Linked DNA regions of Caenorhabditis elegans. Changing the gene in region 2 together with the main gene of any one other region gives a genetic interaction. Each region holds a gene or a part of one and is shown on either strand. Other genes may lie near its edges. The genes, in order: mab-5, pry-1 and bar-1.

Region 1 (11,265 bases), on a different chromosome or scaffold from region 2:
AATAAAATTTTACTTTTAAATTCTCCAGCTGATATTGGTTAGCCATTTTTAACAGCTCTCTCATCGATTTCATCGACTTTTCGATCAAAAACTCCTCGCATTTTCGAATTGCCAAGGTAACATCGAGCATGTGGGCAAGTAGAAGAACTCCATCGATGGTACCATCTGAAAATTTAATTATTTTAATTTAAAATCAATTCAATATCTAACCATCAATCGCAGGTTCTCCATATAGAACCTCCAAAAGGCTCTGAAAATCGGTCGGATCGATGTTTTGGAGTGTAACCTCTGATTGATCGGCTTCTTTGAATTTTCCAAGAAAAAGTGCATTGAAATATGAAGAATGAGACGCCAGGAACTGAAAAATATTGAATATTGAATGGAAAATTCGATTGTAAAAAAAACCTACTAGTTTCAAAACATAAAACTTCTCGTCTCCAACTACAAGGATCACATCGGAAAATCTTTTTTCTGATTCATCGAAGCTTCTGAGCACATCTTTCGAGAATCCTGTCATTTTTGTGATCTTCACACATGCTTCAATAGTAAAACTATTATCGTATAGAAAATCTTCTGTCAATGAGTCCCAACTGACAAAATCATTCCATCCCAGTCCAAATCCATCGAAACATCCCTTTTGGAATTTCATTGCATAACTTCCTGATGATGAAGCTATTTTTAAGCTGAATTCGGCGTCGACTGTCCAGGCGACGTTGTCATCTTTCTCATTGTCACAGTGTAGGTACGCTTCCAGTTGATCTTTCGTGCGAATAACCAATATAAACCTGAAACTAAAGATATTTTATGTAATCTATGACTTGGATAAGACTTACCATTCCGCATTGTAATGAATTTCTTCGGGGCTTTTAAAAAAATCGCCATCTTCCAATTGTGAAACATCCTTGAAAGTGTGATGAAACACGAATTCCTTGCTTGCGGCGACCATTTTGAAGAGTTTGCTGAAATTAAACATTTTTAAAACTCAAAAAGTCGAAAAAATCAAATAATTTTTAAATTAAAAGTCATTTGTCCGCTAGAAAAACGATAACTTTGCAAAGTTTGACGAAAAAAAAAAGATTACAAAAAATCTAATGTGCGTAAATTAGAATGCATTATGTTCATTGCGTACTCTCTCATCTACCGTAGTTCGCTGACTATTTGTTCGAAATGCAGCATTTATACTATTTACCATCGATAGATCCTTCTAAAACGCATAAAGTATTTAATTATGTTTCTACTTCGGAAAATAATGCCAATGTTCAAATATTTGAGCAATATTGACTCCTTAATAAAAAAAGGAGTCAATATTGCTCAAATATTTGAACTTGCAAAAGTATATACAAATATTTGAACTTGCAAAAGAATAAACCTGGTTGACGAATTTTTAAAGATGAGTAACAAAAAATACATTTATTTTCACAGAGATATTTAGTTAGTACCAGTGAATCAATGACTAAATTTTAAAAAAATTAAAAAAGCTAATCAACTTTCCGAGAAATTGGACATCTCAAACCTGCAGTTTCTTTGCGAGGTACTGTAGAAAAGATATTTTCAGGTTTATATAATTATTTCTAAAGTTTCAAGTGTTACTAAGGTATTATTTGGAGGCAATCAATGAAGCTTTACTACCAATCATCCAGTACATATTCACACTTTGTGGCCCAGTTTTACAGATTCTTATGTTCATTAGAAATCGACGATATAATTTTTTAGTGTGACGTAACTCAGTTCACTTTTTTATAACTACATGGTATATCAACAATCTTCTTTTGCATCTGGCACAGTGAAATATGTGTCGTTTCACAAATGTCCTTCAATTTGTGAGGTCCTCTGTGAAACATAATGACAGATCAATTTCATCTCCAAAAATCAAAGCAAACAGATATGTTACTGTAGAAAAATTTTCAAGAAAAAAAAATCAAAAAATAGGCTAGCAGTGTGTAAAAAACAATTTTCGAGACAAAGGTTGAGATCATCAAATCCCAAAGAAGCAAAGGAAGAAATTGAGAAATAATCAATAAAAACAAAGACCCGTCGAAAGGGCGTGGAATCCTTTCAGGTCGTTTAAAAGCAATATATCACCGATGAAGAATGCAAAAAATCAAAGGAAAATGACAAAAATGGGAGCAAAACAATGAAAAGCGACCGGAAACGAGGTAAAAAGAAATTCAAATTAGATTCTGACCAAAAAAAGTGAAAATCAAGAAGAATGTTGTTCATTTTGCTCATCTTGATTTGATTCTTCATCTGATTCATTGCTTCCACCTTCTCCTTTTGCCTCTTTTTTGTGTTTCATACGACGATTTTGGAACCAGATTTTTACCTGCAAAAAGTTAATTGTATCTATTAAATACTTATTTATTAAAACAAAACAGATTATTCACGTGGTGTCAGGCTGTCTCATTGCGGTTTGATCTACGAAAAATGCGGGAATATTTTCCCAGAAAAATTGTGACGTCAGCACAGTCTTAACCATGCGAAATCAGATCAGATGTCTGCGTCACTTCTCCCGCATTTTTTCGAAGATCAAAGCAAAATGGGACTTTTTGACTCCACGTGATTATTCTACTTTGCTTTTTTGTTATCTAGATTATCAGTAAGAAACTACAATTTTTGGTTTTAAAATTGTGTTTGCAATAAGAATTTTCGAAAAAACCATTAAAACTTTTTAATAGAAAAATTATTTTAAAAAATTGAAGAATAATTCCCTATTCTTGTTTAAAATAAATCATCATTCATTATGCATTAAATCTGTCGGTAGTTATTACACGTTCTTATGATAATTTAGGCTTGAAAAAATTCGAGCCACCTCAAAAAAATTTTGGAATTTTCTTTTGGAAAAGACTAGAAGTGAACAAACTTTTTGTCAATATTTTGAGTGTATGAAAAATAAAAAAATACTATAATTGTTCTAAAATGTGTTCAGAAGTCTGACCAAGAAATTTTGGTACAACTGTTGTTATTTTGTTTATTGCCATATAAACTAAAATTTAGAGTTGCGTGGGTTTTCCAAATTATACAAAACATTAGTTCAAAATACTGAAATTTAAAATGAGTAACTTTAAATTGGTGTTGATTTTTTCCAAAATGTTTAGTCTTTGGTTTTGGTAAATTGCCAAATTTGTGACAATATTGATTTTTCGAGAAGTTAGAAAATTGTTTGAAAGTGATGCCCAACAATGCTTAAATACAAATAGATTTTTTTTAATCGAATACATTTTTTGGTTTTCTTCCAAAATTATGAAAATTGAGTAATTGCCAAGAAAATATACAAAATTATTTTCCTAAAATAACTTCTGTGAAATCTGGTAGTGAGACTTACTTGTCTTTCAGTCAAATGCAATGTTTCTGAAATTTCTTGCCGACGTTTCCTAGTCAAGTATTTGTGATAATGAAATTCCTTTTCTAATTCCAATGTTTGACTTCTTGAATATGTCTGACGAGTGCGTTTTGATTCTCCACCTTTTGCACCTGAAATATTATAAATTGAAAAATGCTAACTGTCTCAAGATTACATGGTTACAAATCCATTAACACCTAAGAACGAAAGCTGTCAACAAATAATAATAATTAAGAAATAAACCTTCCCCATCAAATACAGTAATCCTATCCCACCCCTGACGCAATTTGATTGGTCGTGGTCAGTTGTTGTTCCCCAGCCATGTCGTATTTCATTATTGCCGCGAATTCTCTTTGTCTTATCGTCGCACCGACTTCATAACAGTTGCTGTTCCGGGCGGTCTATTTCTCGATCATCACACTTTCCAAATGATATCCAAACAATTAATAAATTAACAACGATGGCGTAATGATCGAGAAAGCTTAATTCGCGGAACTTTATGTTCTAATAAAATGTTTCAACAGGGAGAATGAAAATTATCACAAACTCGCTGAAGGTAATAGCTATTACTGTGTATAATATGGAATATAAATTTTTCAAGGACTATCAAGTAATCAGTTTTATATTATATATAGTTAGACATTTTTTCTCTCCCACTTTTCCATTACGATCCTTGAATTTTTAATTTTAAACAGTAGACACTAAGATAATAAGAATTATCGGCATACAGTGAAGGAAGGTTTTTAGGTATAAAGTTGCGACAATGTTACGAGAATAAAAAGGAATAACATTAATTGGGGCCCGCGAGATATAGTTTGCAGAAACAACAAAGGTTCGAAGTTAACATTTTTAAACCAGCTACCGGAAACATATATACACCTACACAAAAATGCAATTGCTCTTAAAAAAAGTGCAATGAGTTTTTATATTTAGGTATATTTTCTTGGATAAATTCTTGTTTTTATTGGATAAAAGATATGGATAAAATAACGGCTGACCAAGTTGTAATTACTCTAATATTAGAAAAATGTTTCAAAACCATAATAATCAATAGGTTAGTATTTTCAAACTACCGTAGTCCGCTCTCTATGTCTGCTCACACTCTCTCTCACTTTTCAATTTCCAATTTTTCTCTTTGCAACACACTCACTCTTTTCTACCCTGGTTCATCTATACCTCATTGAAATTCAACCATCTGTCCTCTTTATCCGGAAAACCCTAAACACACAAGACATATCAAAACTACTGTATTACGGTAGATCCGTGCTCAAACTCCCTTTCATAATAATTTGAACTTCAACAACAAACAATACCACCCAGAAGTACAACGCTTGTTCGATTCAACCTGTTCTCATTTTTTGGGAAATCTTCTATTTTCTGTTAGATTTCAGTTTCGATTAGAAAGTTTTGAGGCACAGAGAGAAAAAACGGGAGGATTACTGTACTTCTCCAATCTGGGCATCAATCAAAAAAAGTTAATGGGGAAAACTGAATGAACGAAAGAAACTAATTGCAAATTAATGACTAACGGAAGAAGAAAAAGACATTGAAAAGAAAATGGTAACATATTGATAATCTTGAAAAATTACATGCAATTTGTGATGTGGTGAAGCTTCATGGTCAATTTTTGACAAAGTTTCCAGTTTAAGAATCAATGTATTTTGATTAGTGCAATAAAATACTGAATTTTAGATGAAATTTGAATCGGAAAATCAGTTTTTTGTAAGTTCGCAATATATCTTTTCAACAATTTAGCTAGATGATCATCGATTGTTTACAATCTATTGAAAAGTTGACACAAAGAGACAAGAAATTTTCTGAGAAATTGTATCAGACTAATAGGAAAAATACGGTGCATGGGTTTAACAAAGAGTACGACTGTAAAAAGCATGTCAAAACGTTATTATCTTATCTTAAACGTTTGGGGTGCTCATGAGTGAAGAAAATAGGCGATGTGCAGGTATGTATATTTTTTGACTTTGAATATTACGGGAAAAATTCCATTTTAAAAATTTACAAGCGAAAATTCCAAGCAACATATTTCTATCAGTCTATCGTATAATATTTTGATAAGACGACAGAAGGGAATTTAGACACGATGCCTCAACTTTACACCGTATGATCCTCCTAATCCGGTGTCGTCTGAACTTGTCAGTCAATTTCGTTTCTTCTTCCCTCTGCTATATATCAAATGAATATCCACCGTAAATCATCGGATTAGAAGAACGTGATGACAAACCGCCCGTGTTTCTGCTCTTTTGCGTGGAGCATCCTGTGAAGCAGCTGTTGCAGCATCAAGTCATAAAACATCCGATGCTCAGGTCATCTCTCTCTGCACACGAACCGCAAACATTTTGACAAGTTGGTGTTGTTGTTCCTAGTACAACTTGTTCTTGTGTTCGGATTGTGGAGGAGGTCAAAAATGAATAAATCAATTGACAATTTACAACTTCGATACGGACCCCCACTTTCTCTTGTGCTTAGGGCTCGAATTCGTGGGTTTTCTGGCACGGCGGCAAACTTCAAAGCACCAAGGAAAATAAATGATTCGGGAAAGACAGAGAGAGTAAAAGAGAGAGAAAGTGAAACAAGACAAAGATTCTCTCGTATTTACGTGTATCTTCCATTTTCTCCGTCTTCTTTTCTCATGCTTTTCTCTGGTTTCGGTCAAAAAATGAAAGAGAACGAAAAAAACTCCGAAGGAAGAGAAAGAGAAATGTAACAGAGAAGCCTGTCTCTCGTGTTTTGAACTGACTGTGAAAAAATTATCGAAATTAAAAGTAACTGAATGAAATCAAACACATTTTTTCAAACTATTATCAATTTGGAAATAATTACAAGAGCATTGAATTTATACTGTGACACCAAAGATTGTATTTTGTATATTTCAAAAATTAAAAAAAAGTATAAAATTTAAGACGTAAAATCAAAATGGACGGCATGTCAGTAAGTTCTGGAAAAAGTTGAACAACCATTTATGAGATGCACTAATCCGGTAATGACATTAAAATTTTTGTACAGTTCAAATCGATATTGTTTTCTGCAGTGTTTTTGAAGTTTCAAATTTTGACTGAGTTTTGGAATATTGGAAATAGAATATTGCATGCAGTTGTTCGAAAAATTCATAACCCAAAAGTTAATCAAAACTTATATTAAAAGGCCGGTAGATTTTTTTTTCTGAAACTTTGAACTTTCAAAACTAAAAACTACCAAAACTTGAGACTTATAACTAGCAACATTAGGCAAACAGTGTTGACTGTAAACCCATTAAAATATAAAACTTTATCCTATTCATGACCATTTCCCCGTTAACCACCCAGCGTGTATCATAAATAAATCAAAAAATTCCGTCCTTTTCCCGCCGCGATTTAGAGAAAAAGGATCCAAAAGAGACACCGACTTGTCGCCATATTTTTTGTTTTTCTCCTTCTTTTTCTCTTTAATATTATACCGCCATGAAAGTCTGAAGATAAGAATCGAAAAAGTGTGCCCCTCTCTCTAGGACCTCCCCTCTTGCGCGCATGTCTATCTTCACACCTATTTGGCGGTCATTACCGAGTAACAACCAATCCGAAATTACATTAAAATGTAGAAGAATGACCCATATGTTTGTCTTGTTTTGACATTTTTATGAGATCAAATAGTGAAAATGGAAATACGAGTTTAAAAGTGAAAATGAGAAACTGTAAACTAACCGCCCATCTTCATCCATGGAAATACTGGTTGCGAGATTGCTGGCATTGAAGTTCTAGTTTCACCAAAATTTGCAGATGTTGCTTGAAGTGGGTTATAGGCGAATCTGAAAATATTTTAAGTTGGATCCTAAATTTTGTGGTAAGTTAATTCGCTTATTTGAATATGGAAAAAAAATATTTCGAATTTCCAAATACTCTTATTCATCATTTTAATATGTTTTTGTTCCTGTCTTCAAGGCGACCTTTGCCTGCCTTGTTGCTCTTCTGCACGCATCCTGCCAAAGTTCCCTTATTCAAAACTTCAATCATTAATTAAAATAAGATAATGAAAAACCTGTGAGAAATTTACAACAATTGAGTTTTCATTTGAAAATGGCTATAGGCTTGATGATCGAAAATTGCTTTTTTTTTATTATGGAAAAATATTAAAGATAAAATATTCATGTTGAAATTCAAATGCATTAGAGAGTGCTTGTAAATAAAATTGGAGTGAACATATTTTTTTAAAGAAATCCGAAATCTTTTAAACATTTCCGAAAGACATATTTTAAAAAAACGAACTCAATGTTTTTGTTGCAATGAAACTATTGATTTTTTGGAAACCGGACTGAGAACTTCTTTCAAAAACTGAAATTTAAATTTTCTTGTTGATTTTTCTTTGAATCAATGTTAAAAAGGAAGTTGTGAAACCTGGAACGCTTAGCAAAAATCTTAAAATTTTACAGCAAACTTTGTTTTATTTCGCAACATTTTTTTCTCGCTCCAAAAATTTTATTTCAAGAAACTTACGGATTTGATGAATTATCCATCCAACCGGCAGCAAGCATATGTTTCATATTGTTCATGTAGGTGTGATTGTAGAGTTCGTAGGTCTGAAAATAGTTTGAAGTTTAGTAATGGGACGTTGCGAAATACTTTCAAAGTTTTTCAAAACAAGGGTGAATATTTCTTGATATTTTTAAATGAATTTTTTATTAATTTTTTAATCTGGAAAATTTGAAAACTATAGAGTATTTTAAAAATTGAAATTCATTTTTGTAGGGTTTTCCCCATATTTTCCGTAATTAATTTTCGACCCAAAATATTTGAACTTATTTCAACTAAAACCTAAAATTTTTCATTTAAACTCTGAAACACACACTTTCAAATTATTGGCAGCAGCAGCAGCGGCAGCACTAGACGATGCTGAAGCAGATGTGCCGGATGATGCGGATTGAGAAGAAGCCGTTGTGCCGGCGCCCGCCCAGTACGAATCGTCGCCTGTCCATCCAGGATACATGCTCATTTGCCGACGGATTGAGTTGAGGGGATGAGTAGATGCGTGATGGAAGACGGCAAAAAGGTGCGGATTTCTGAAATTGAAATGGTAATTGAGGGGTGAGAATATGGGAAGATAGAGAAAAAGTAGGGAGCACGGAAGGAGCATGGAAAGAGCAATGAGAGCAAGATGGAGGAAAAAATGGTGCCATATAGAATACAACTTGAATAATTGAGGAAATAATATATCAGGTTTGTTTCAACGTCATAAGTATAAAGCCCATCTCAGTGAACACTAAATAAGATAATTTTTCAAATCAATAAGCACAATAATATGAAAATTAATTATGACACATTAAGCTGTAGAAGGCAAGTTTTTAAAACTGTTAAAAATAATATATGGTGAACAACTGATTAATATTGTTTTAAAGTTATCAAATGATCAATTTAAAAGCGTTTATTCTATAACTATTTAATACCAAAAGTTGCAATTTAAACTATTTCTGATATTATGAAATATTTTCTATACAGAATGTTTTAACATTACGTTTTTTTCTAAAAGCAACATATTCGACAAAGTCAGTAATACTAAAAATAAAAACAATTACAAGTAAATAAAATGTTTATTTCTAAAGCTAGACATTTGATAAGAAATATCGAGCATATTTAAAGTGAAATAAATTGTCTAATGAAATTTATTTTGTTTTACCTTCACTCTAGAAGTTTATCAATAAAAATGGTAATAATGACTTCCATTAAACCAAATAAGCATTCCAAAACCCCTACAGTACTCCTCATTATTTGATAATCATGAGGTTTGGTCTATAAATATCTTTTAGTGACTAATGTCCATTACATATTACCGTATCAATTTATCATTTGTCACATTATCAATCTTTAATGCCATTACATTAAGCCCTTCTCTCTCTCTTCCAGTTTCTCTTTGGAACCTAATATTATAAAGTATCCAATGAGTCCCGTAACTAAAAACCAATAAACGGGGCATTGACGCATTAATTAAGATATATATTCGAATATAAAGAAGAGAAATCAATCGGAGAATTGAAATATGTTGAGGGCGCCTGATGAAATATTGGTGGGGCCCCCCGGCGGCCGACTGGTCGATGCGAACAACGTGTGAATGGGCGGAGTCTCCGGGCGTTGACGGGAAATGGGGAAACCAATCGGAGAAATTGGGAGGAGCATGAAAAGACTGGGAAGGCAATGATGAGTAGCATTTTATGGTAGAAATCATAATATTTTAGTTATTAAGATTCCAAGTCAAGAGCTTCTATTTAGCATTTGGTTTAGATGTCATTTACAATGGCATTTGAGAGGGCTTATCCTACAGAGATGACATCTTATTGTAGATTTGTGAAAATTGGAAAATATGATTCAAATAATGAGTTCTGGCATTTAATTTTCGAATGAAAATAAAAATTTTACGAAATTAAGCAAAAGTATAAATTAAAAAAATAATTCGATTAGAAGTTGTCATTTTTTCAAAATTAATATGGTTTTTTAAAAAATTTGTTTGATATTATATATTTAAATCTACAATTTAAAACAAAATGCTATATCTGTATTATTCAAGTCCCGAACTTGAAAAAATTGAAGTCTTGCAGAAAATTAGAAAGGTTAGAAAATGACATTTGTATGTTCAATGTATTTGGAACTCTTGAAACAAAGTAATCAAAAGAATCAAATGAAAAGGATCAAAATTTCTAGAACCGATAAAATATTAAAACGTTAAAAAACGTATCTGTTGAATAATAATAGCCCTTCACTATCTGAAAAATTGATTAGTCGTGAAAAGAGGAGATGGGAAAATTATCGGAAAATTAAAATTTCATGAAATGAAAAAATTAAAGTTAAAAAATTTGTGCACCCATCTACCGAAGATGTACCTAGTTAATAGAAAAATCAAAAGAAATAATTAAAATATGCAAAAAAGAGTGAAAATCAAATAACAACTTAACTCCGACCGTTTAATGAGTCATTTGTGATTTGAGTACATAAATATAATTTTAAAACCTTCGTTACCACTTTCAACTTTTTTTCACACACACTTTCTTCCATAAAACATATTGTTTCTAAAGGAGCAGTAGCATTCAAATTCTCCCAGCTCTCACAAATAAAACAAATTCTTACCCACAAAATCATCCCGAATATTGGTTCAGTGGGTTCCGCCTAATTCTCGTGCCCATCAACACCCCACATAATTAGTCTACTTCATCTATTTTTTCGATTGGTTGCGGGTTGGTCGAGAGAGCTCTGCGGCTTGCTTTTTTTCAATCGTCTCAATTGCTAATGCTTGATGCTTTCTGCATAGAACAAAAAACGAGGATTTTTTCGACTTTTCCACACCCACTTCCATTCATTTCAATTGAATGGGAAGTGTGAAAAAAAATGAGATGGTGGTAATAGGAGAAGCAGACTTTGAAATAATCAGAAAAATTAATGTGTTTGCATTTCCAAAGTTATTATAAGTGAACTAGAAACATCAAGAGTTAAATACTAGAAACTCAGTTGTTACACTCACGTTGACAGGAAATCGCGAGAGTTTGCAAAGAAAATGCCAAAACATATTATAATGGTGCGGTACCATCATTCTGATATATTTACATTTTTCAATAAATTCAAAAATAAGGTATAAGTGAATAAAATTGAAGTGAAATAAAATTGACAAGAAGGCGAGATCAAAAATTAAGTTTTATGTTAATCAGAAACTCATTTCTCTAGCTATTAAAAGCAGTTCATATCTTGCCAAAAATCTATGTGAATATAAATTATTTAATTTGAAATTTTACTGTTTGCTGGTGCTACCTAGAATCTCAAAAATACCGAATTTCATTACGATACTTAAAAAAACTATAGTTTCTTAACGGTTGTTCAAAATTATGAAAAAAGGTTAAACTTAACTAAAATCTCCAATATCTCAAAATTATAAAATTTGGGGTTATAGAAAGTTTG
Region 2 (11,429 bases):
CGGGGAGAATTGATTCCTGGGAGCTTTTCCTCCACTGCTTTTCATTGCTTTTTTGTTGTGGGAACACTCTGCAACAAATTTGGTGGTGAAAACCTGAAAATTTAGCAATTTTCTCATTGGGGCGCATTTGCAACATACCAATTTGAATTTTCAATAGGAAAACTTGTTTCTCTTGTTTTCACATTAACTTCTATCGATTCCTTTTAAATTTTCGCTGAACCGTGATTTTCCAGCAATTTCGCGGGAATTTGAATTTTTAGTTCGAAATTGCACTTTTTTGGTTTTAGCAAAACTGGTAAATAAATATAACAGTTTAAATTGTTGGTTTTGTTGGAAAATCACAAGAAAAATCGATTTTCCAGTTATTTTCTCATTGGGGCGCGTTTGCATTATGCGGTCCGCGAGAATTTAAATTTTTTAAAAAGAAAACTTGTTTTTCGAATAAGTTTAAGACAATTTGCGCTCAAAAAATAGCTAAATGCGTGAAAATTCCAGTAAAAACTCAGTTTTTGCGTATTTTCTCATTGGGGCGCACTTGCAACGTGCGGTCGGCATGAATTTGAATTTTCATAAAGAAAACTTTGTTTTTAGGTGTTTTAAAACACAACTTTTAGTTAAAAATGGTTAGTTGAGTTCAAATATCTTGGAAAAAACATTGTTTACGTATTTTCTCAATGGGGCGCACTTGCAGCTCACGGTCAGTGGAAATTCAAATTTTTGAGTTTAAATTTTAGTTAATTAGGTTTAAAGAAAACTTTCATTTTCAAAAATAACAAAATGTGCTCAAATACCCCCTCAAAATCAAAATTATCCTATTTTTCTCATTAGAGCGCACTTGCAGCTTGCGATCGGCGGGAATTTTTTTTTATATTTTTAAGTTTAAAATTGAGTTTTTCGGGTGTTTTGAAATGCGGTTAATTTAGTTCCCTTAAAATTTAAACGAAAAAAAAAAGGTTTTTGCATACTTTCTCAATGGGGCGTACTTGCAGATTGGCGGGAATTCTAATTTTCAACTAAAAAAAACCGAGTTTTTTGCATACTTTCCCATAATTCCCCTATCATTTTCTTCATTTCTAGACCGAAAAAAAAAAGATTTGTGAAGATCTCCGCCAATAAAAAACATCAAAAAGTGCCGCTTCTTCAAGGTTTTTCACAATTTTTGGCGGCGGGGAGAGGAGGCGCAGCAAGTCGGAGTGGACGGCGGGCTGGAGAGAAATATGAATAAATCGACAAGACGCAGGCACGTGTCGGCGAACATCAAAGAGTCGCTGGTTTTGAAGAAGGGGGCGCCTCCATTCTCACACCGACCGCCCGAGAAGAAGAGAGAGGAGGCACTTCACCCCCCAATTCTCTTTTCCTTCTCCTTTTCTCTTTACCCCCCTTGATTTTCCTACCCCCATCTTTTTCCTAAATCCTTCTGTTTTACCCATTTTCCTTTTTAGACCATCTTTGGGACTATAATATTTGCTTTGAAAACTGGAAAATTATATGAAAAATCCAGTTTTTAAATTTATTTTAGGCTCAGTTTAGGCCAAACTATTTTAGGTCTTTTTTAGGCGTAAAAATTTGAAAATTTTTAGACTCGGTTTAGGTCAAACCATTTCATGGCCAAATTTCGGCTTGAAATCTAAAAAAAATTACGGTAAAATCTTATTTTTTGAAATGTTTGAAAACTCAAAATATTCCAAGAAAAAAAAAACTAGTTTTACAACATTTTTCTGGGTTTTCTTAAAATCCTTGTTGGGCTAAGAAATTTTAAACTAAGAAATTTTGCTGAAATCTTAAAAAAATTGTGTTGTTTGAGGTTTACTGGCCAAATTTTAGACTTTTTTTTTAATGGCGATAATTTCAAAAAAATCAAGTTTTTACAGCGTCACATTTTTTAAACATTTTTTAAGCTTAAACTATGAGATAGCAAAAAATTGTCTACTAACAAAATAATTACCGTAAAATTTCCTACATTTTATTAATAGCCAACTTTTCGATTGCTTCAGGCTCCACAGAGTTATAACGGTTTGAACTCAAGAGGCGCTAGGCTCCTTTTAACTTCAAACCTCTATAACTCTACAAATAAAAAAGCTAGCAAAAAATTGTTAACTATCAAAATAATTATCATAAACTTTCCTACATTTTATTTATTGGAAACTTTTTGATACCGTCATTTTCTGCAGAATTACAGGATTTTGAACTTGACCTCTACGCCTCCCTTGGCCCCCAGTTTTAACTTAAACCCCTATAACTCTGCACACAATGGTGCTAGCAAAACATTTGAACTGACAAAATAATTGCTATAAAACGTCCTACAATATGCTAGTTAACAACTTTTTGATGGCATCAGTCTCCGCAGAGTTACAGCTATTTGAACTTGACCTCTAAGCCTCCCTTGGCCCCCAGTTCCAACCTAAAAGCTCCATAACTCCGCAGAGAGCAGAGCTAGCAAAAAGTTGTCAACTAACAAAATAATCTACGTACAATTTTCTACATATATTCAATTTAAATTTTTCTGCTAGACCAACTTACCAGCAAGATCAACGCCCCTAAAGTTAGGGGCCCCTCCCGGTAGCCGGTCGAGCGTCCCCAGTAAACTCTTCCGGGGGCACCCGAAACAATGTTCACTCATCAATCGTTGTCATCTTTCTGGAGACATGTGTCTTATCTGTGTGTGTGTACTACTACTCTTCCCAATACACCCCATTACTCTCCGTCACTATCTCTGCGTCTCTCACCCCCGCCACTCTCTCGCTCTCGCCCATTCATTGAGTAAGCGAGGGGCCTCATTCCTTGATTATCAGCCACTGATAGGAACAATAAGACACCCATAGTTGTTCCATTTTTGCAATTAGAGAGGGAATAGTGACGCTTATAATATATTGTATATCCTATATCTTATCACAGTTTTTTTTTTTTTTTTTTGTGTATAGTTTTGGCCTATTTTATAGGTTTTGAGGGGGTCAAACTGCTAAGTTTAAATAAAATTTGTTTAATTTTCAGTAAAAGCGTCATTAGAAAAGTTTTGAACAAAAAATTGAAAAAAAAAATTTTGGCAAAAAAATTATTTTTTTAAAATTTTTTCAAAAAAAAATTTCCCTCGATTTTTCAAGTTTTTCTCTACTTTTTTTTTTGAATATTCTCTTATTTCAACATAATCATAAAATTCACCTCCTTTTCAGGTGCATGGAGACCCATCTCGGTTGGGCGCGAAGCCTGGAGGCCGTTCTATCCGATCGATCGGCACTCGACGCGTTTCAGGAATGGCTTATTGAGTACTCCTCGCCTCAGGTAACTTTTTTTTTGGGATTTTTCTGCGAAATTTGGATTTAGCTTGCCGAGAGCTTCAAAATAAGTATAATCATGACATTTTTACGATGATTTTGAAAATTTTTAGGTTTTGGCGCAAAATTTTTAGATTTTCTTTTGCTGCGGGACCCAAAGTTCCAATATTTGAAATTTTTACTTGTTTTCGGATGTAGCTTGTCAAGAGCTTCAAGATGAGTATAATTATGCCTAGGTTACTTCAAACTTGAAAGAATCTGGGTCTCACCGCGAAGGTTATTACTGTAGTCCCAAATTTTCGTGGCGAGACCCTAATTTTTCAACCTTTGCGGAACCTGGACATCATTATACTTATCTAAAAGCTGACAGCGAGCTGACTTCGAATTTTATAGTTTTGCAGGCGAAATCATAATTTTGTGAGAATTTTGACCAGTTACAAGGAAAGTCTGCGATTTCACGTTTTTTCGAAAATTTTTTGCGAAAATTTCAACTTTTTTTAATTTTCGAGATAAATTTCTCATAATTTAATCAATCTTTTCATGCGCTTTTGGAAAAGCATAATCATGACCACGTTTCGCAAAACGTTGGGTCCCACCACGCAACCCATGGGGTTCTGTAGTTGTTTGTCGTTGTGGGACCCCATAAAAATTAAATTTATTGAAATTCATACACAGCATCCTGAGAGCTTTGAAATAAGTATAATAGTCTAGGTTCCGTCAAAAAAAAGTTGGGTCTCACCACGAAATCTACTACTGTGGCCCCACATTTTCGTGGCGAGACCCAATTTTTTCAAACTTGACGGAACTCATGCATGATTATACTTATTTCAAAGCTCTCAGCAAGCTAAATTCAAATATTGACTTTAAATTTCCGAATTCTCTAAAAAAATAAGAAATTTTCAGTACCTCGACTTGTTCTTCGCAATCCGAGCATACGAACGAATGGCGTTGGAGGGAAAACCGGAGGTATTGATTTTTTTGCAACTTTTTTGGCAAATCGGGCAATATTTATCTATTTTTTTTAGAAATCCCAACTTTCCAAGTCAATATACTCGAAATTTTTGTCCTCTCGGACCGGAAACTGCGAAGCAATTCCCAAGCATTTTAGGGCTCCGGTAAGCTTTTCTTAAAATTTTTTAAAATCAAAAATTAATTTTTGGATTGGTGAAAAACTACGTCATGGCACCGAATTAGAGGATCGGGTATTCAGTCATTGTTCGAATTTTGTTCAAGAATTTTTAAGACGCCAACACGAGGAGTTTGTGGGCTCCGAAGAGTTTATTGAGGCTTTTAATAAGGTAAATTGTTTTTTTTTTTAATTGTGAAAATTTGAATTTAGCTCACTGAGAGCTTTAAAATAAGTATAATCATGCCTAAGTTCCGTCAAATTTGATAGAAGTTGGGTCTCACCACGAAAACCTACAGTAACCCAGGATTTTCTTGGCGAGACCGAGGTTGTTTGGAAAATTTACAGAATTTGCGAAACCTATGCATTCTTAATGTAATATCGGCGGTCTCAGTTCAGATTTTCAGAATTTTGGCGAAAATTTTAGGGTTTTCCAACAATTGGGTCCTACGACGAAATTTTTCCGGTGCCTAACTTTTTGAATTTTGATTCTTTGCAATTTTTATTTACAAAATTAAACTCAATTGACTGAAAGCTTCAAAATAAGTATAATCATGCTTAGGTTCCGTTAAGTTTGAGAAAAGTTGGGTCTCGCCACGAAATGTATTACTGTAGCCCCAAATTTTCGTGGCGGGACCCAACTTTTGTCAAATTCAACCAAACCTAGGCATGATTATACTTATTTGAAAGCTCTTTCTAAGCTAAATTGAATTTTTATAGTCACAGTGTGAAAAATTTGAAAACCGAGAAGTTGGGTCCCACCACGAAAGGGTTACTGTAGGTTTTCGTGGCGAGACCCAATTCTAATAGAACCCAGACATGATTATACTTATTCGAAAGCTATTTTTAAGCTGAATTTGAATTTTAGCATTTTACGTATCTTATCGCAATTCTGAAAAAAATTTCCAATCCCAAAAACTAAAAACCCCAATTCCAGATGTCATCTACCACCGCCGACCAGCTCCCGGGAGGCTCCGCCCACCATTCATCACACCAAAACACCATGAGAAGGTCGTCAGGCACTACCTCCCGTAAAAGTGCCGCACAAATCGCCACCCAGCTCACAGCTGAGGCCCTCCTAAAATCGAAACACGACAGGCACAGCAAACTTGGAGAAACGTAAGTCGCCTACCTACCCTACCTATTTAAATTTGAATTTTTTTTAGAAAACTTGAGAAAATGTACCCACCGACACGTCAACCATACGTATGCAACGCCACTACCTCACACAACGACTCGGCTGTCAGCTCGACGTTTTCTGGGGACACGCCCGAAGCCCATAGGATGCATAGTAATAGGTAGGTGATTTTGGTTAATGTATTTGAATTAAGCTTGTTGAGAGCTTTTAAATAAGTATAATTATGCCTAGGTTCCGATAAAATTGGGTCCCGGCACGAAAATCTACACTAACCTTTTCGTCGTGAGACCCTACTTGGCAGTTTTCAGATTTTTTACTTTTAAATTGTGATAGCTGAGCTCAACTTACCAAGAGTTTCAAAACAAGCATAAACATGCCCAGGTTCCGTTAAAATTGGGTCCCGCCACGAAAACCCCGAGTTACTGTTGGTAGGTTTTCGTGGCGAGACCCAAATTTTTTCAAACTTAACTGAACCTAGGCATTATTATACTTGTTAGAAAGCTCGTTACAAGCTGAACTTTAATTTCAAATTTTTAGGGTTCAATAAATTATTTCTGAAAAAAATCGCGACGAGACCCAAATTAAGCTTATTTTTTTGAAAATTGTATTTTTTTGAAAACCTTAAATTTTAGTGTTGAGAGCTATTACTACAAAAAAACCAAAAGTTTTCGCGGTAAGACCCTAAAATTTTGAAAATTTTCAGGCCATGGCATGATTATACTTATTTTGAAGCTCTCAGTGAGCTTATATCAAATTTTTATCTAAAAGTGTCTAATTTCCAGACTCCGCCATATCCGAGACGAACAAGCCCGCGAGAATCACGGTACCATGACACTGCCACGTGTCGAAAAAGCCAGCGTCGATGGTCAGCAATGGGATCATTCTTCTGAATCAGGAAGAAGAAATTTTGCAATGGAAATCACCAGAAAACTGCTTAGGCATATTGATAAGGTTAAGCTAAATGATGAGATGGAGAAGAGGATTGACGATATCGAAGAGTGTCGGTATACGGTAGGTTTTTCAGTTTCGAGTTTTAGGCTTTGAATTTGTAAAATTTGAAATCAGCACGCCGAGAGCTTCAAAATATGTATAATCATGACTAGGTTTCGCCAAGTTTGAAAAATTTTGGGTCCCACCACGAAAATGTGGGGTTACAGTAATACCTTTCGTGGTGGGACCCACATTTTTTAAAACTTGACGGAACCTAGGCATGATTATACTTATTTTGAAGCTCTCAACAAGCTGAGTTTGAATTTGTAATTTTTAAAGTGAAATTCAAAGAATTTTAGGGTCCCACCACGAAATCGTACTTCGCGGCAGGACCCAACTTTCTTCAATTTTGCAATTTTGCTTGGAAACTTATAAATTGGAGCTAACTTTGCTCATAGCTTCAAAATAAGTATAAACATGTCTAGGATCCGTTTTATTTAAATATTCCTGGTTTAAGCGTACAGTAACCCTAGATTTTCGTGGCGAGACCCACTATTTTTCAAATTCAACTAAACTTGAGCATGATTATACTTATTTTGAAGCTCTTTACAAGCTGAGCATGTTTTTTTAGTTATCTAGTCACCACTGCAAAATTTGGATTTTTTGGGTCCCACCACGACTACAGTAACCCTGGATTTTCGTGGCGAGACCCATTATTTTTTGAATTCAACTGAAATAGGGCATGTTTATACTTATTTTAAAGCTCTTATCAAGCTGACTTCAATTTTCAAATTAATTTTTCAGACAATCGACATGGTAAACGGCACGGAGCCCAACGACGATCTGGGGAAAATCGATGAGGACGAGGAGTTGGATGATTATCTGAAAATGAAAATGACAGATGATTCCCAAAAAGGATCAACAAATCGATCACCTAAAGGCCCAGCAGGAGAGCCCAACAAATCTGGAGAAGGATCGAAAAATAGTGAGTTCCCATGCTCCGGTACCATATGTCGGGTTATTCTCATGAAGGGATTAATATTACTAATAGGTGTTAGAATTGGAATAGCTGTTAGTAAACATCTTAATGACAAAAATATTTGTCAGGGAACGTTTTTTTTTAGTTCGAATCTATGAAAATTAAAAATAAAAAAATTTTTGAAATTTTTTTTGAGCAAAAACTTTTTTCTCCAAAATTAATAAATTTAATTATTGAAATTATTAAAATCACGTCTGCCTCATTGAGAGCTTCAAAATAAGTACCAACATGCCTAGGTTTTCTTGATTTTGGGTTCCGCCACGAAAATGGGTGTTGTAGCTTTTCGTGGTGAGAACCAACAACTACAAAATGACATTTTTGCTTTAAAACTACAAAATGCAAGCTCAGCTCACCTAGAGCTTCAAAATAGGTATAATCATGGCTAGGTTCGGTGAAATTTGAAAATTGTTGGGTCTCGTCACGAAATGTATTACTGTAGCCCCAAATTTTCGTGCCGAGACCCAAAAATCTTCTAATTTGACGAAACCTAGGCATGTTTATACTCGTTTTAAAGCTCTTGACGAGCTGAAAAAAAAAATTACTAAAACTGTAAAAGTTTTAAATTTTAAATATCTTTCGTGGTAAGACCCAAATTTCTGAAATTTCAAAAAAAAATCCAGTATTTTTATATTTCCAGTCAATTTTCAAACTCAGCTCGTTCAGAGCTTCAAAATAAGTATAATCATGCCTAGGTTTGGTGAAATTTGGAAATTTTTGGGTCTCACCACGAAAGTTATTACTGTAGCCCCAAATTTTCGTGGCGGGACCCAACTTTTTTCAAACTAGACGGAACCTAAGCATGTTTATACGTATTTTGAAGCTCTTCATGAGCTGAATTCAAATTTCCAATTTATAATATTTTCCAGCCACCCTCTCCCCAACCAATCGTGCTCCCGCTCAGCTCCACAACACAATTCGGGTCCCGAGACGAAAAGATTACCCCCGGGACACCTCGGCTTCTCTAAAATCTCATCGTCACCATCAAATCGACACAAATCGAATGATGAGCCAATCAATGTGCGCTCCATCGTACTCCTCAGCCAGCTCCTCCTACAGTAGGGACTCCTTCGCGCCGGCGCCCACTACCAGGGTGAATTTTGCTCCGGGGAGCAGCAAATCGAGTCAATTCTATGATTCTTCGGGAATTGGGTCTATGGCACCGTCGGCGTTCTCCGCCACTTCGTCACTGGATTATAAGGATCGGAGGCAGCACAGAAAGGCTCCAACGCCTAAGAAGCACTCGAAAATTGGGAAAAATTTGTCGAATTTGATAACTATTAGCTATTTAGGTAAGGTTTCATTTTTTTATACAAAAAAAAGTGAAAAAAAAAATTTTACAAATTTTTTTTTGAAAATTTTTTTGAACTTTTTTTTCAGATTTTCTATGTTTCTAGGGTAGATTTTACCCTAAATTTTATATTTTCTAACATTTTAACTCAAATTTTTTTCCAGGAACCGATAAAATCCCTGTGGTAACACATGTCCCTAACGATGGACCAATGACGTTGGCGGAGTTCAAGAGGCACTTTGCTCTGCCAAATGGAGCACATCAGTGAGTTTTTTTTTGGGTTTAAACTGGGAAAATATTGATTTTAGGTTGATTTGGAAGTTTTTGGAAAATTTTGAAAAAAAAAATTTTTGCTCAAAAATATTTTTTTTTGGAAAAACAAATTTCCAAAAATTTTCAAAAATTTTTTTTTTCAAAATTCTCAAAAACGTTATTTCTCAATTAATATGGTATAAATGTTCCCAAAATTGCATAAAACCATAAAAATGTACTATTTTCCTCCCTAAACCCCAGAAATTTCCAGACTATTCTTCAAAACCGAATGTGAGGATGGCTCCGCCCCTTTTCAGCTTTTGCTCATTAAAGATGAGCATCACCTTTTACCAGTCTTTGAGGTAATTATTAATCTTATTATTGGACTGCAAAAAAAATTCCAAAAAAAATTTTTTTTTTCAGGGTCGAATTGCCGCCGAGCTCCGATAGTGGGATTATCGATTTTTGAAAACGATTTTTTTTTTCATTTTTCTGAATTTTAATATCATACACACAACCTACAAAACAGAACACAGGTCCATAAATTTATTTCGTGATCTTAAATTTTTTTTTTGAATTTCAAGTTTTCAAAAAAAAAATTTCAAAAATTTTTTTATTAAATAATATATGTATATTTCAATAAAAGTGAACAATGAGATGTAGGAATGTTGAAAAAACCAAAAAAAAAATCAGGAAAAATCAAGGAACACTTCGAAAAAATGCGTTCTGCGCCAACATATGGATCACCCGGGTGTCCTTTTTCGGGTTCCGTCGCCCGTCTATGCAAAGGTACATGGACCAGAGAAGTACCATTAGTATGGAAATGATGACGTAGGCAAAGCTGAAAAAATTTGAGAGTTTTTGGTGAAAACTAGACTTTGAAAGCTCGAAAATTGACAGAGTTACGGGGGTTTTGAAGGATTTCGTGGTAGGACCCAAATTTTGCATAATTTTTGATTTTTTCAAATCAAAACATTTTTTTTTGAAGAAAATTGAATTCAGCTCTCCGAGAGCTTTCAAATAAATATAATCATGCCTAGAATCCGTCAAGTTTGGAAAAAGTTGGGAAAACCTACAGTAACCCATTTGTGCTGGGTCCCAACTCGCTCAGTTTTGAAATTTTTATTTGGAAACTAAAAAATTTAAGTTTAAATCGCCGGGAGCTTTTAAATAAATATAATCATGCCTAGATTCCAATGAATTTGAAAAAAGTAGGGTCCCACCACGAAATTGATTACTGTAGCCTCAAATTTTCGTGGTGGGACCCACATTCAGCGGAATATAGGCATGATTATACTTATTTCAAAGCTCTCGGCAAGATACACACAATTTCCACAATATTAACATTTTGGGTCTTATCTGGAATACATTACTGTAGGTTTTCGTGGTGGGACCCGAAATTTTTGAAATTTCTTTAAAAATTATTCAAACCATGACATGATTATACTTATTTTAAAGCTCTAATCCTCCTGATTCCAAATTTCGTAATAAAATTCAAAAATGTTTTGGGTCTCGCCACGAAATCCTGAAAAATCGCCGAAAACTACTCACCTAACATACGAAACGACCTGCTCACGTGTCCAAGAGCCAAAAAACGACTGATCCTCGATTTTCTCATCCATGCATTGGTTCTGAATCGGGAGAAATAATTTAAAAAATTCAGAAAAAAATTGGGGAAATTTTGAAAAAGAAGGAGGTGAGGCAAAAAAATCTGATATTTTTTCGAAATTTTTTTTTTCCGGGAAGAAAAACTAAAATAAATCATAACTTCCTATTATTGTTTTCCTTCAATTTTCTCGTCAATTTCCACTCAATAAGTAACGTGTCAAACTGAGTGGCACCTCTCACCGGGTGGTAACTTGGGGAAAACAAAGGAGCAATTTTGTTTTCAAAATATTTTTTTCGAAACTGGGATTTTTATGAAGTAAAGTAGATTTTCAAATTCAGCATACTGAGAGCTTCAAAATGCGTATAATAATGCCTAGGTTCTGCCAAATTTGAAGAAAGTTGGGTCCCGCCACGAAAATTCAGAGCTACAGTAAGACTTTCGTGGCGAGACCCAACTTTACTTAAATTCGGCGGATTCTAGGCATGATTATACTTATTTTGAAGCTCACAAGAAGCTGTATTCAAACTCCTCTAGAAAAATAAAGAATTTTTAAATTTTGCAAAAATTGGGTCTCGAAGCGAAAAATTACTTCAAAGATCGGTTTCTACTAATTTTTGACTTCAAAACTGAGTTCAACTAGTTCAGAGCTTCAAAATAAGTATAATCATGCCCAAATTTGGAAAAAATTTGGTCTCACCACGACCACCTACAGTAACCCACGGTTTTCGTGGTGAAACCGAACTATTTTCAAAGTTGACGGAATCTAGTCGTGATT
Region 3 (10,398 bases), on a different chromosome or scaffold from region 2:
TGCTCCAGATGAGGAGCGAGCACTTCAGATTTTTATTGTAGCTGCAATTTATACAGCTTTGATCATTGTCAAAACTATTTTTGAGGCGCTTGGGGTAAATTTACTTTTGATTTCCCAAAATCCTTAATTTCCCCAATAATATGTTTCAAATTTTAGCGAATTTTCATCGCACTTTATGGACATGGCTTCTGCAAATTCATGAGAAATGAAATGTTTAGAAAGGTATACACTACTCTCTTGGTAAACTTTCGAAGCTTGATTTCAGGTTCTTCGCCATGGCGCTGCATACTTTGACGAGGAAAGAAACAGTCCAGGAAGGCTGGTTCACAAAGTGATCAACGAGTCGTCTACGTTGAATGAAATTATGGAACAAAAGCTTGATATGTTGATTCCTGGTGTTGTCTGCTCGCTGTTCTCCATTGTTTGCGCGTTATGGATCAACTGGAAAATGGCTCTTTTGTGTTCCTTCCAGTTCCCAGCATACTTTGTTATCAGAATATTACAAATCAGAGAAGGAACGAAGAGGTAGCCAGTCCATTAAATTTAGTCCGTTTCAAAAGTGTATTTCAGACAAAGACAAATGGTGGATGAAGAAAAAAAAGCTGCTAACTTAGCGTCCGTGGTGCTTGCAAACATGAGTACAATCAAAGCATACAATCTACAATCTCATTTTTATAACGTTTTTTGCGATGCTTTAAAACCAGTATCACAGTGAGTACAGTAATCGGTTGATTTAGTTCTAAAATTTGATTTTCAGATGTATGCAAAAACAATCCCTTATTTCTGCTCTTGTTTTTGCATGTCAATACTCGTTCACCTATATCCTTATTGCAATTACTCTTCACTTTGGAAAAGTGATGATGCTGGCAAACGAAATTAGTGTATTTGATTATATGAGGTAACCAGAACAGATCAGCAGAAACATAAAAATAAGAAAATGTCATTTAAGAGTTGTTCTGCTCACTCAGTTTGGTGCCAATTTCTTCTCACAACTCATCGCATCTGTCAGTGACTTTACCAAAGCGCAGATTGCAGCTGAAAACGTTATGAGGGTGATAAGAGAACCACCCGTTGACATGGATAACTTATCAGAGGAAGGCTTAAGACCGGTAAAATTATTAACTAAGCCAAGGAAATACAAGTTTTCTATTTTAGAAGCTGGAAGGAAACCTCTGTCTTAAGGATGTTTCGTTCAGATATCCTTCAAGACCCATTGTACCAGTGTTGACTAACTTGAACTTGAAGGTCAGTGTTTTTTTTAATACTTATGGGTTTCGTTCCCCCAAAATGTTCTTTTAATTATTTAATACTGAATTTTTAATTTTAATCCACACGTGAAAGTTTATTTTAATACTATTTTCATTTTCAGGCTTAGGAAACCATCTTCCTAAGCCTGAGAATGAAAAAAAGTTCACGTCTCTATCAAAAATTATGGAAAACATATTGAGGGGAACGAAACCCATAAGTACCTTTTTTGCATCGAATTTCAACGATCAACTTAAAGGTCAGGGGTGGAGAATCAATTGCACTTGTAGGACCTTCCGGGTCCGGTAAATCCTCGGTGATTTCTTTGTTCCAACGAATGTACAACGCCACGGATGGTGTTGTTATCATTGACAAGTACAACATCAAATCTATAAACCCGGCCTATTTAAGAAGATGCATTGTACAAGTCGGCCAGGAACCTGATCTTTTCTCTTTCACCATCAAGGTATCTTTAACCATTTATCAAAATCACAATAAAATGTTCTTGTTCTTAGGAAAATATTGCTTTTGGAATGATGGAAAGCGAAGCAACAATTGATAAAGTTATCGAAGCTGCAAAGATTGCGGACATTCATAATTTTATCACTAGTTTACCACAGGTGAGTTTAAAAATAAAACACATTAAAACAAAGCAATTTAGGGCTACGACACAGAGGTTGGAGAGTTTGGTGCCCAGCTCTCTGGCGGTCAAAAACAAAGAATTGCAATTGCCCGTGCAATTATCAGAAAACCAACTGTTCTACTGTTAGATGAGGCAACATCGGCATTGGATAGCGCCAGCGAGAGAGAAGTTCAAAACGCTTTTGAACGAGTCAAGAGGAGTACGAAGACTCAATGCACGTGTATTCAAAGTAAGAATTAGTATATTGAAACTGAAAAGTAATATTTAATGCGGTTTAAACTCTCAGCCAGTACGTCACGAGAATTGGCAAATCTCTAACGGGAAAAATGTTTTTTTTCCAGTCGCTCATCGTTTATCAACAATTCGAAACGTCGACAAAATATACGTTATTGTTCATGGAGAAATTGCCGAGGAAGGTAGCCATGAGCAGCTTATCAACTTGAAGGGTATCTACTACGAAATGAATCAAATGACGTAAATGAATTTGTTTTGGCATGCAAAAACTACACTCTGAATCTGGAATTCATAATTTGTAAATAATAGTTGTTATTTTTATAAAAATTTTCTTATCTGACACACTTTCTGAAATTGAAATTCAATAAAAATTCACTTTATTCAACATATTTTGCATGCCAATTCATGAACCCGTATACAAATAATTAGAATCTCATTTTCAAGGAATGTGCAACAAATATCCGACTGGGGTGGTGGAAAGTGTGGGGGTCTATGTTATAATTAAAAAATTAAAATCGACTATTCCTAGAAGGATAATAATCAGACGAATGACTACTCGGACCAGGGTTTGATGGAAGGTCGTTGTAAACTGGTGGACTACGGTCATAGCTGTTATATTGAGGAGGCGTTGGTCGCGGATAACAAGATGCTGTGGCATGGGGATCCAAGTACGTCTCGGGAGGTCCAATTGAGTATTCTGGATACATTGCTGGTGGGGAATGGTACATTGGTGAGTTGTATGGTTCTGAAGAAATATTTGTTTTTGGTTCTAGGTTCATAGTTTCTTTAATAGTATATTGTCTCAATCCAATTCGAAGGTGGAGTAGCGTCAGTGAAAAGTTTAGTAAAATAATCTTAAGAAAAAAACAAAACAATCATACAGCCGAAATAAAATATTACGAAATATATGTATTCTTTCAAAAAGTTTTGGCACCCCCACTTATAGAGCAAATACGTTAATTAAAAACCTTCATTTCACATTTAAACAATTTTTACTTCCAAAAAATGGGTAACTATGTAAAATGAATAATTGTCAAATTTTGATTGTTATTTTAAAAAAGTTGAAAAATTACATCTATAACAATTTTCCTAAGTTTTTTTTTCGCTCTCACAATGGTAAGCAAAACTATGTATGTAGATAGAATCTTTGGAATCCTGCGTTTATCAAAGTTGGCAATATATAAAAACTTCGGGAAGTTTTCGGCAACGAACAATCGTGTTGCCGAAGCTTTGAAAATTATCGAACATATATCTTTGTTGAGCTTATATTTTAAACTGCTTTTCTAAAGACATCTTCAAAATTTTGACATCCGGCAAATGTCAAAATGGCCGAAAGTTATTTGTTAAATTTGATTAGCTTCCTAGAGCAAATTAAATTGTCATCTTATATCTTACTTGATGAATCTCGTCCGGAGCTGTTGCAATACGAATCCATCATAGTATCATCTGTTAAAGGTGTAGACCATTGCTCTCCAGCTCCCTCACACACTTCACCGCTACTATTTAGTGCTTCGCTTCGTGGGGTGGTCATGCTCATGTGACCAAATTGGCTCTGTAATACTGACTTTTTCTTAGAGTTATCCCCCATTTTGTGTTACCTCTAAATATGAATTGTATCTTGGAAGAGTATTCCTTGTCTTTTCTCGCTTCTCATACATCATCTTGAGAATATTATTTGCTAGACTTGCTGTAAATTTTCAGTTCTACTTGTCTATTGGTGTGCAACGTTACCTAATTCAGGGTGAGTTTGAGATTGCATTTGAACATTTTGAAGCATTTTAACAAGAACGTCATCTCTGTCAAGTACGTTTGCCATTTGCTCATGATGCATCAAATTATAAATCAAGGCCAGAGCCGATGATTTCGTGTTCTCTTCAACGTTGGCTTTTTGTAATACAAAAATTGGAAGAGTATGACCATCGCCCATTCGGCTATTTTCAGGAGTTTGCAGGAAGAAAACAACCTATAAATTGAAATTTGGGTTTTCAACCTGAAAACATTAATACCTCGTTGAGAATGTCCTGGTCTCTTGTAATCCATCGCAGGATTTGAATACAAAGATGAATGATATCTTTCACGCGGACACCTTCGATAGATTCTTGCTTGAAATCCAACAATTATTAGTCGGTTTGTTGACTTTTTACTTACCACATTCAGCTGGGTACATGCCACTCTCAAAATATGAATGAGTTGCTCAACAAAACCTTTATCTCCAATTCGGCATGATCGGAATGGAGCAAGAAGGGCATGTTGGGATACAACTTTCAGCAGGAGCTAAATTAAATCTCAATTTCTTATTAGCCCTTCAAATTAATGACTTACACTCAATGTGTGTTTCAGCAATACTGGTCTCATTGTTAACAATTTGTGTAGAAATAATGCAGGATCTCGGAAAACAAATGCTTGGACCTTATCTGACATTGGATGTCCAACACAGAGATGCCGTAGCGTGCAAATTAGGCTTTCCTGAAAACCGTATTGTTAAGCTTTGAAATTTAAATGTTATTACAATATAATCCTCCATTTGCTGTGCTTCTTTATCTCTCAAGTCACCCATCTCTTTGGTGGCAATTGTTAAAGCTCTCACAAGAATGACAACCCCATTGTTGCCACACATAAACTCCTGGAATTAAAATTAATACTATATCTTGATTTCTGACAAAAGCACCTTGTTATGCCTGTTGTTTGCAACTAGATTTGACATTATCTGAGCAGAATATAGACGGATTGTTGTATTTCGAGAATTGACCAGCTCCAGAAGAGATTTCAAAAGTAAATCTTCTTTTATTTTGCTTGGTACGTCACTTATATTTCGCAAAGTTTCAAGGGTTGATTGTACAAGTCGCGGACTACCATGTGAAAGAAGATTGGCGAGAATTTGGCGACCACCAAAAGCAACAAGATTTGGAGCGTCCTGGAAAAGTTCAGACATTACATCCTTCAGTTTCAAATATTTCTTACAAAGTTCGAAAATGTTTTCAAAAGTTGCGTAGTTCGCCAAAGCAAATTTTCATAAACTCTGTGTTGTAGTAGCATGAGCAGTTTTTGAGGTCCTCCCATTTTCACAAACTTGATTTTCTGTTCGGTGTTCTTTTCACACAAAACTCTGATCAAGTCAACTATCACTGGAAGAAGTTTTTCTGATTTCTCCGCTTCTAACCACGGAGTCACATGCTGCAATTTTTTGTAAATTTTTTTTTTTCAATTTTTTTTCTTCTTTAATCTTACAGTAATCGCATCTTGTTGACGCGCAATGATCACACTTTGTCCGCCTCTCTGCTTATCGGACAGAATCGAATGCATAGTAAGAATGGCATATTTGTATATTGAACTTGGATAAGTACTGTAACAGCTATTTGAATGATTTTTTTCTGAAATTTAACTTTCTTACCCAATATGCCTAATAAGATTTGGAATTATATCAGGTTGTTCTGCGATCGCTCGAGTGACAAGATCAATTCCTTCCTGTCGGTTGCAAATGTGGAAGAATGTTCCCAAAGTGCAACGAATGATGTTCTGAAAATATATGATGTATTAAACTGTGCAAGTGCACAAGCTATACCGGGAATTCAACTTTGTCACGGAGAAGATCACGCAGTGTAAATATAACACGGGGGTCCACAATTCGAGCTTCATTTTGCCGTCGCATTGGGTCACACTCCATCTTCGCAATATTTTGCATCAGAATTACAGCTTTGTGCACAACCTCCTGTAAGATTTTTGTTTGAATAATGTTTTTTTCAGCAGAACAATCAATTTTTTTAAATTTTTTCCAGATACTTCAATTTTGATAATCGATTTTAAATGTTACAAACAATCAAAAGTTCAAACACCGGCTTCATCAGTAAGCAGCATTAGAACCAATTTATCTTTGTGTTAATATCAGTACTGAAATCAAAAGTTCATAGTTTAATTTCAGATTTTGTGATTTGAAAATTTAAGTGAATAAATTCGACTAAATATTTTTCTTACTGTAGATTTGATAATTTATTTTGAGTAATTGAAAGTTAAAAATCAATTAACATCATATTATACCTAAATGAAATAATAGTAGTCCAGTAATAGTAGTAATAGTAATAGTAATAGTAATAATAGTAATAGTAGACATACGTTTCTAATTTTTTAAAGTTTTTTTTTCAAAAATTTCAGTCACAGTTCTGATAAGTTGCTAAGTTTTCCAAAAATTTGTAACATTTCGAGCATTGTTGCATGTTGGAATACAAGATGTTTGAATATAATTAAAATATAAAAAATAGGTCAAAACCGAGGATTTTTTTAATTCATATATTGTGAAATTATGAGTATGAATATTTCAAAAAAGTTTTGAACAAAAAAATCTTACATTATCCTGATCTTTCATAAGCATAGTGAGTTCTGGAATTGCTCGAACTGTGTTATACTGCCCATCCGCTTGATTTTGCGTGATCCCATCAAACTTTTGTTTTTGCTGGAAGAAAAATAACAATTTTGTCCACCAGCGCATTTTGATATGAAATGGTCTTACTTGATCTGAAAGAGTGGGGATCGGCTCATAGTCGGCCATGGATGACATTCCGGAAAGATGCGATGACGGATGTAGAGATGATATAATAGATGGAGCCTGAAATTGAAACACATTAATCTTTGTTGTGTGTGTGTGTCTATCTCTCCTCTGTTTTCTCGTACCTCACTGTGATTCATTGTTTGGAAACCGCTATCAAAGTTGTGATTCCGCCACATATCCACCTTGCGGTGGCCGGTGCAGGGCGTTGAGCCCATGTGTATATCCGAATAGCTCGAGGTGTGTTGCTCCCTGTAAAAAATATTTTAAAACAGTTTTAAAATTTTTTTTTTGATAACTCCCAACATCAAAATAAATTGTTTCTTTTCCTCAAATTTGCAGGCTCGTTCAATCAAAAAAACTTACATTGTAAAAGATGCCTCTGATAAATTTGTGTCGTCATGGTTAATAACTAGGTTCGGATCCAGGTCCATCCCAGTTTTCTGAAAAAAAAAGCCAAATATTTTTTTATGAATCAATTCGAACAAGAAAAACGATTTGTCTGCCGGATGAAGAGAAAAAATAGGAAAAAGCAGTGAAAAAACTGAATGAACAAAATGTTTGAAAACATTACAAATCTTCCTGCTGGGCACAAGAAAGAGTGTGTGGTGATGGGGCGGTGAAATAGTGAGATAGAGAGTCTAAGGCTTGTGTAATGAAGAAAAAGCAATAATAGAAATGAGCGGTTTGTACCTAACCTAGAGTAAAGGGCTATTGATATCAGATGGCTTCTATTTCACCCCCAATCATTCCCATCCCCTTGCCCGTCCCGCTCGCATTATTCAACCCATTTTCTTTCGTGCTTTCAATCACCTATCAGTGAGTGAGCAGCCAAAGGTGTGAAATTGGCTAATAAAATTTAGAGGTATGTTTCAATAATAATGATTATCTGTGGTGAAACGAGAAGGCACACAGTCATCAGTTGTGGGTTTGAAATGAACAAACGGGAAAGACGGGGGAAACAACTTTGATAAGGATGTATTTGGGAGGAGAACTGGGAAGGCTGGGAGAGAAAATAGAAATGGGATAGCTTAGTCGTAAATTATCAGTTGGGATAATTAGTCGACTCTTATTTATCAAGTCCTTCATTTTTATTCTTCTTTATTTTCTTATTCATTTATATCATATCAGCATAACGACCCAGATTTGCTGTTTTTCAAAAGGTTTCTAGTGGAAAATCAAACAAGCCATCATTTGGTTTCCGTTAGACAGAATCGTTATCAGGATTATTCATTTTAGACAAAAGTTTGGTCAATAGGAAAGTGTTAATCATGGCAAATTAGAATAACCAAGAGTACAACCTTAAAAATAATTTTTAAAAATTGTGTTAACTTTCAAATTGCAGGATAAAATTGCAAACTGTGAATGATAAAAAAAAGTTAATTTTCTTTCAGGCTAAGTTTCTGGCATTCAAATTATTTAAGCAAAACTTTGATTGTTATTTATTATAATTTTATTGGAGTTCACTACTATAAATTATGTTTTTTTTATTGTTTCATGCAATGGATCAATTGCTAATTTTCATGATACACTTTTGAAAAGGTTTTTTTTTATTTCCGCTGAAGAAAAGCATCATCATTAATATGACTTTTTATCCTGTTTTCCAATACTATGAACTTTGATTTTTTGAAGGACACGTTAATGACTCATTTAGTGGGTATGAGTTGCCTATTGTTTGTACATTTAAACACTTTCACAGACAAATTGCATTTACTTGTTATGTACACAATGTCATAAAGACTACAACTTAAAAATTATATTAATGAATTAACTATCTTTCATACTATTCTGAAAAAGTTTTTGCTCAATTTATTTTTTAAGTTGTAAAAACTTATAATATATTATTATTTTACAACCGGAAAAAAGTGAAATTACGTCGAGAAAAAGCAATAAAAGAAGAATAGTTTGTTTAAGAAATGGAGAAAAGTGTTGCAACGGGTGCTCCATGTCGGGGGTTTACTGATAACAGTGTTCTCCTTATGAGCAATCTTTCATAAAGACATCATTTAACATTTCAAAATCTTACAGGAAATTGGAATATTTAAAAAATCAGTGCTTCCGTCTTGTGCTAAAAAAAAACATTTTTAACCTCAAAAGTTATTTTAACTTGCAATGTGTGTTATTTATGACTATTGCAAAAAGGATCTCATAAAAAAATAACTTTTTTTAACTGAAATTTTTCAATCCTTCACCAATTTTTCAATACAGGCGTCAATATTCCAAAGTTGGGTTTCTAAAAAGATGATAAGTAAAGATTGCGAGAAATGAAAATTTTAACACATGATAATGATACATATTATCAATTTTGAAGAAAAGAATAAGACGCAGTGGAATGTTGCAGTGTTCATTTGGAAGTAACTGAACTAATATAATAATTCGAAAAAAAGTAGATACGTAAATATACAGTTGTCAGAATAAGTGCTTTAATTTTTTCTTCAAAATTCTACGTGATTATTTATTTGAAAACTTGTTGGACACCAACAAACGCAATGAATATTATCTTCAAATTATTGCCACCTCAAACTCCATTTGGAACATTACCTAAAAATTAATATAATATTTTTGGCCGTAGAGCCTCATAGAAGAAGTATTTTGGTACTTCCATTTCAAATTTTAGTTTTTCCGGATTGAAAACAAAACAAATTATTTCGGTATTTCATGAAAACCGGATAAAATAACTGTTACAATTATTTCTGAATGGCCACGTGTCCCGGTTATTTCAGAACAAATCGCACCTTGCAGCGCGCCCATGTGACCATGCGATTGTTATTATAGATTATAAAGAACTACAGAAAAAAAAAACAATGGAGATCAAAATTCATGGGAGACGGTAAAAAGATAGACATTTTTCAGCAAAAAGATTGACGATAAGAATGAAGGATTCATCATGTTTCCTTCTGTCTTCATCTCCTTTTTTTGTTGTGTTTATTTTTTATTGCAGTAAATTTTTCGCGCGTAATGAACACTAAAAATATAAAACATGAGGATATCATCGAAAGTAAGGAAGATAATTGTTGGAGGTGAGAAATACCATCTTGAACCTCTTTTTGAGGGAAGTACGATAGGAATCACCGACCGGACAGTAGCGTCCAATCTGTCTATCCCCTCAGCAGGGCACGAGGACAACATGAAAAATTATCCATTATTCTGTTTCTCGGCGAGTACATTACAATTGCCCCTTTTCCATCTTCTAGCGCCTAAGCAAAAATTGAAAAGAAGGGTAAAAACATTTTAGTGCAATTTTTTAGTGTCGCTTGTATGTGTGTGTGTGTGTGTCGACTGTCGACGCTAAATGTTTGGGAGATTGATAAGGTCGTTTGTGGAACTAATAGACAGAGAGAAAATTGAAAATGAAGAGGATTTAATGAGAAAAAGAAATAGCAAAAACGGCAACAGTTCTTGATGTAACCAATTGATTAAAACGAATGTTGTCACATTTGAAACTGATATGTATTATTAAAATGATTGAAACTTCAAACAAAGCAGAGGATCAAAAACAAAAACATTTTAAGACTGGAGCTTGATCCCGAATTACGTGAATGGCATACAATATTGCTTTCGTCTTAAATTATTATATTTTTTTCTAAAGCTTGACATGTCGGGTTAAAGGCACAAATGATTGGAGTGGGTTTTGACACGGCTTTGCTAAGAATGCCAAAGTATATAGACTTGATCATATGATTTAAAAAAAAAGAAAACTTTGAAAATTTCAAACCTAAAGTGCACACATTTTTCA

The links.
Region 1: of pry-1 (region 2) and mab-5, changing one suppresses a phenotype caused by changing the other (phenotypic suppression), as found in Caenorhabditis elegans (one study listed by BioGRID).
Region 3: of pry-1 (region 2) and bar-1, changing one suppresses a phenotype caused by changing the other (phenotypic suppression), as found in Caenorhabditis elegans (one study listed by BioGRID).

The regions. Positions count from the first base shown.
Region 1 is NC_003281.10:7,775,069-7,786,333, forward strand, and holds mab-5 (Homeobox protein mab-5), read right to left. Parts: upstream 8,387-11,265; 5' UTR 8,321-8,386; coding exon 8,177-8,320; intron 7,908-8,176; coding exon 7,825-7,907; intron 7,140-7,824; coding exon 7,036-7,139; intron 3,472-7,035; coding exon 3,323-3,471; intron 2,324-3,322; coding exon 2,201-2,323; 3' UTR 1,767-2,200; downstream 1-1,766. Other genes in the region: bath-15 (BTB domain-containing protein), read right to left, coding at 14-165, 211-358, 410-791, 834-946. UniProt on the Caenorhabditis elegans protein: Transcription factor that binds to the promoter region of the transcription factor lin-39 to repress its expression in Q neuroblasts and thereby direct left Q neuroblast (QL) daughter cell migration.
Region 2 is NC_003279.8:14,171,102-14,182,530, reverse strand, and holds pry-1 (Axin-like protein pry-1), read left to right. Parts: upstream 1-3,170; 5' UTR 3,171-3,174; coding exon 3,175-3,279; intron 3,280-4,175; coding exon 4,176-4,238; intron 4,239-4,297; coding exon 4,298-4,387; intron 4,388-4,432; coding exon 4,433-4,570; intron 4,571-5,020; exon of another isoform or gene 5,021-5,093; intron 5,094-5,335; coding exon 5,336-5,517; intron 5,518-5,564; coding exon 5,565-5,696; intron 5,697-6,318; coding exon 6,319-6,547; intron 6,548-7,270; coding exon 7,271-7,451; intron 7,452-8,371; coding exon 8,372-8,794; intron 8,795-8,957; coding exon 8,958-9,057; intron 9,058-9,316; coding exon 9,317-9,407; intron 9,408-9,468; coding exon 9,469-9,495; 3' UTR 9,496-9,703; downstream 9,704-11,429. Other genes in the region: C37A5.11 (Very-long-chain 3-oxoacyl-CoA synthase), read right to left, coding at 9,745-9,886, 10,597-10,667. UniProt on the Caenorhabditis elegans protein: Works in parallel with axl-1 in negatively regulating bar-1 signaling in vulval precursor cells and Q neuroblasts. Inhibits Wnt signaling, which affects tissue specific expression of Hox genes, egl-5, lin-39 and mab-5.
Region 3 is NC_003284.9:7,163,521-7,173,918, forward strand, and holds bar-1 (Beta-catenin/armadillo-related protein 1), read right to left. Parts: upstream 7,106-10,398; 5' UTR 7,097-7,105; coding exon 7,029-7,096; intron 6,915-7,028; coding exon 6,788-6,914; intron 6,723-6,787; coding exon 6,627-6,722; intron 6,570-6,626; coding exon 6,465-6,569; intron 5,832-6,464; coding exon 5,685-5,831; intron 5,639-5,684; coding exon 5,514-5,638; intron 5,466-5,513; coding exon 5,351-5,465; intron 5,297-5,350; coding exon 5,084-5,296; intron 5,037-5,083; coding exon 4,791-5,036; intron 4,746-4,790; coding exon 4,632-4,745; intron 4,589-4,631; coding exon 4,445-4,588; intron 4,397-4,444; coding exon 4,271-4,396; intron 4,225-4,270; coding exon 4,129-4,224; intron 4,086-4,128; coding exon 3,854-4,085; intron 3,810-3,853; coding exon 3,721-3,809; intron 3,675-3,720; coding exon 3,518-3,674; intron 2,868-3,517; coding exon 2,632-2,867; 3' UTR 2,485-2,631; downstream 1-2,484. Other genes in the region: pgp-10 (P-GlycoProtein related), read left to right, coding at 1-94, 157-222, 266-525, 571-711, 758-898, 950-1,109, 1,156-1,245, 1,505-1,711 and 3 more.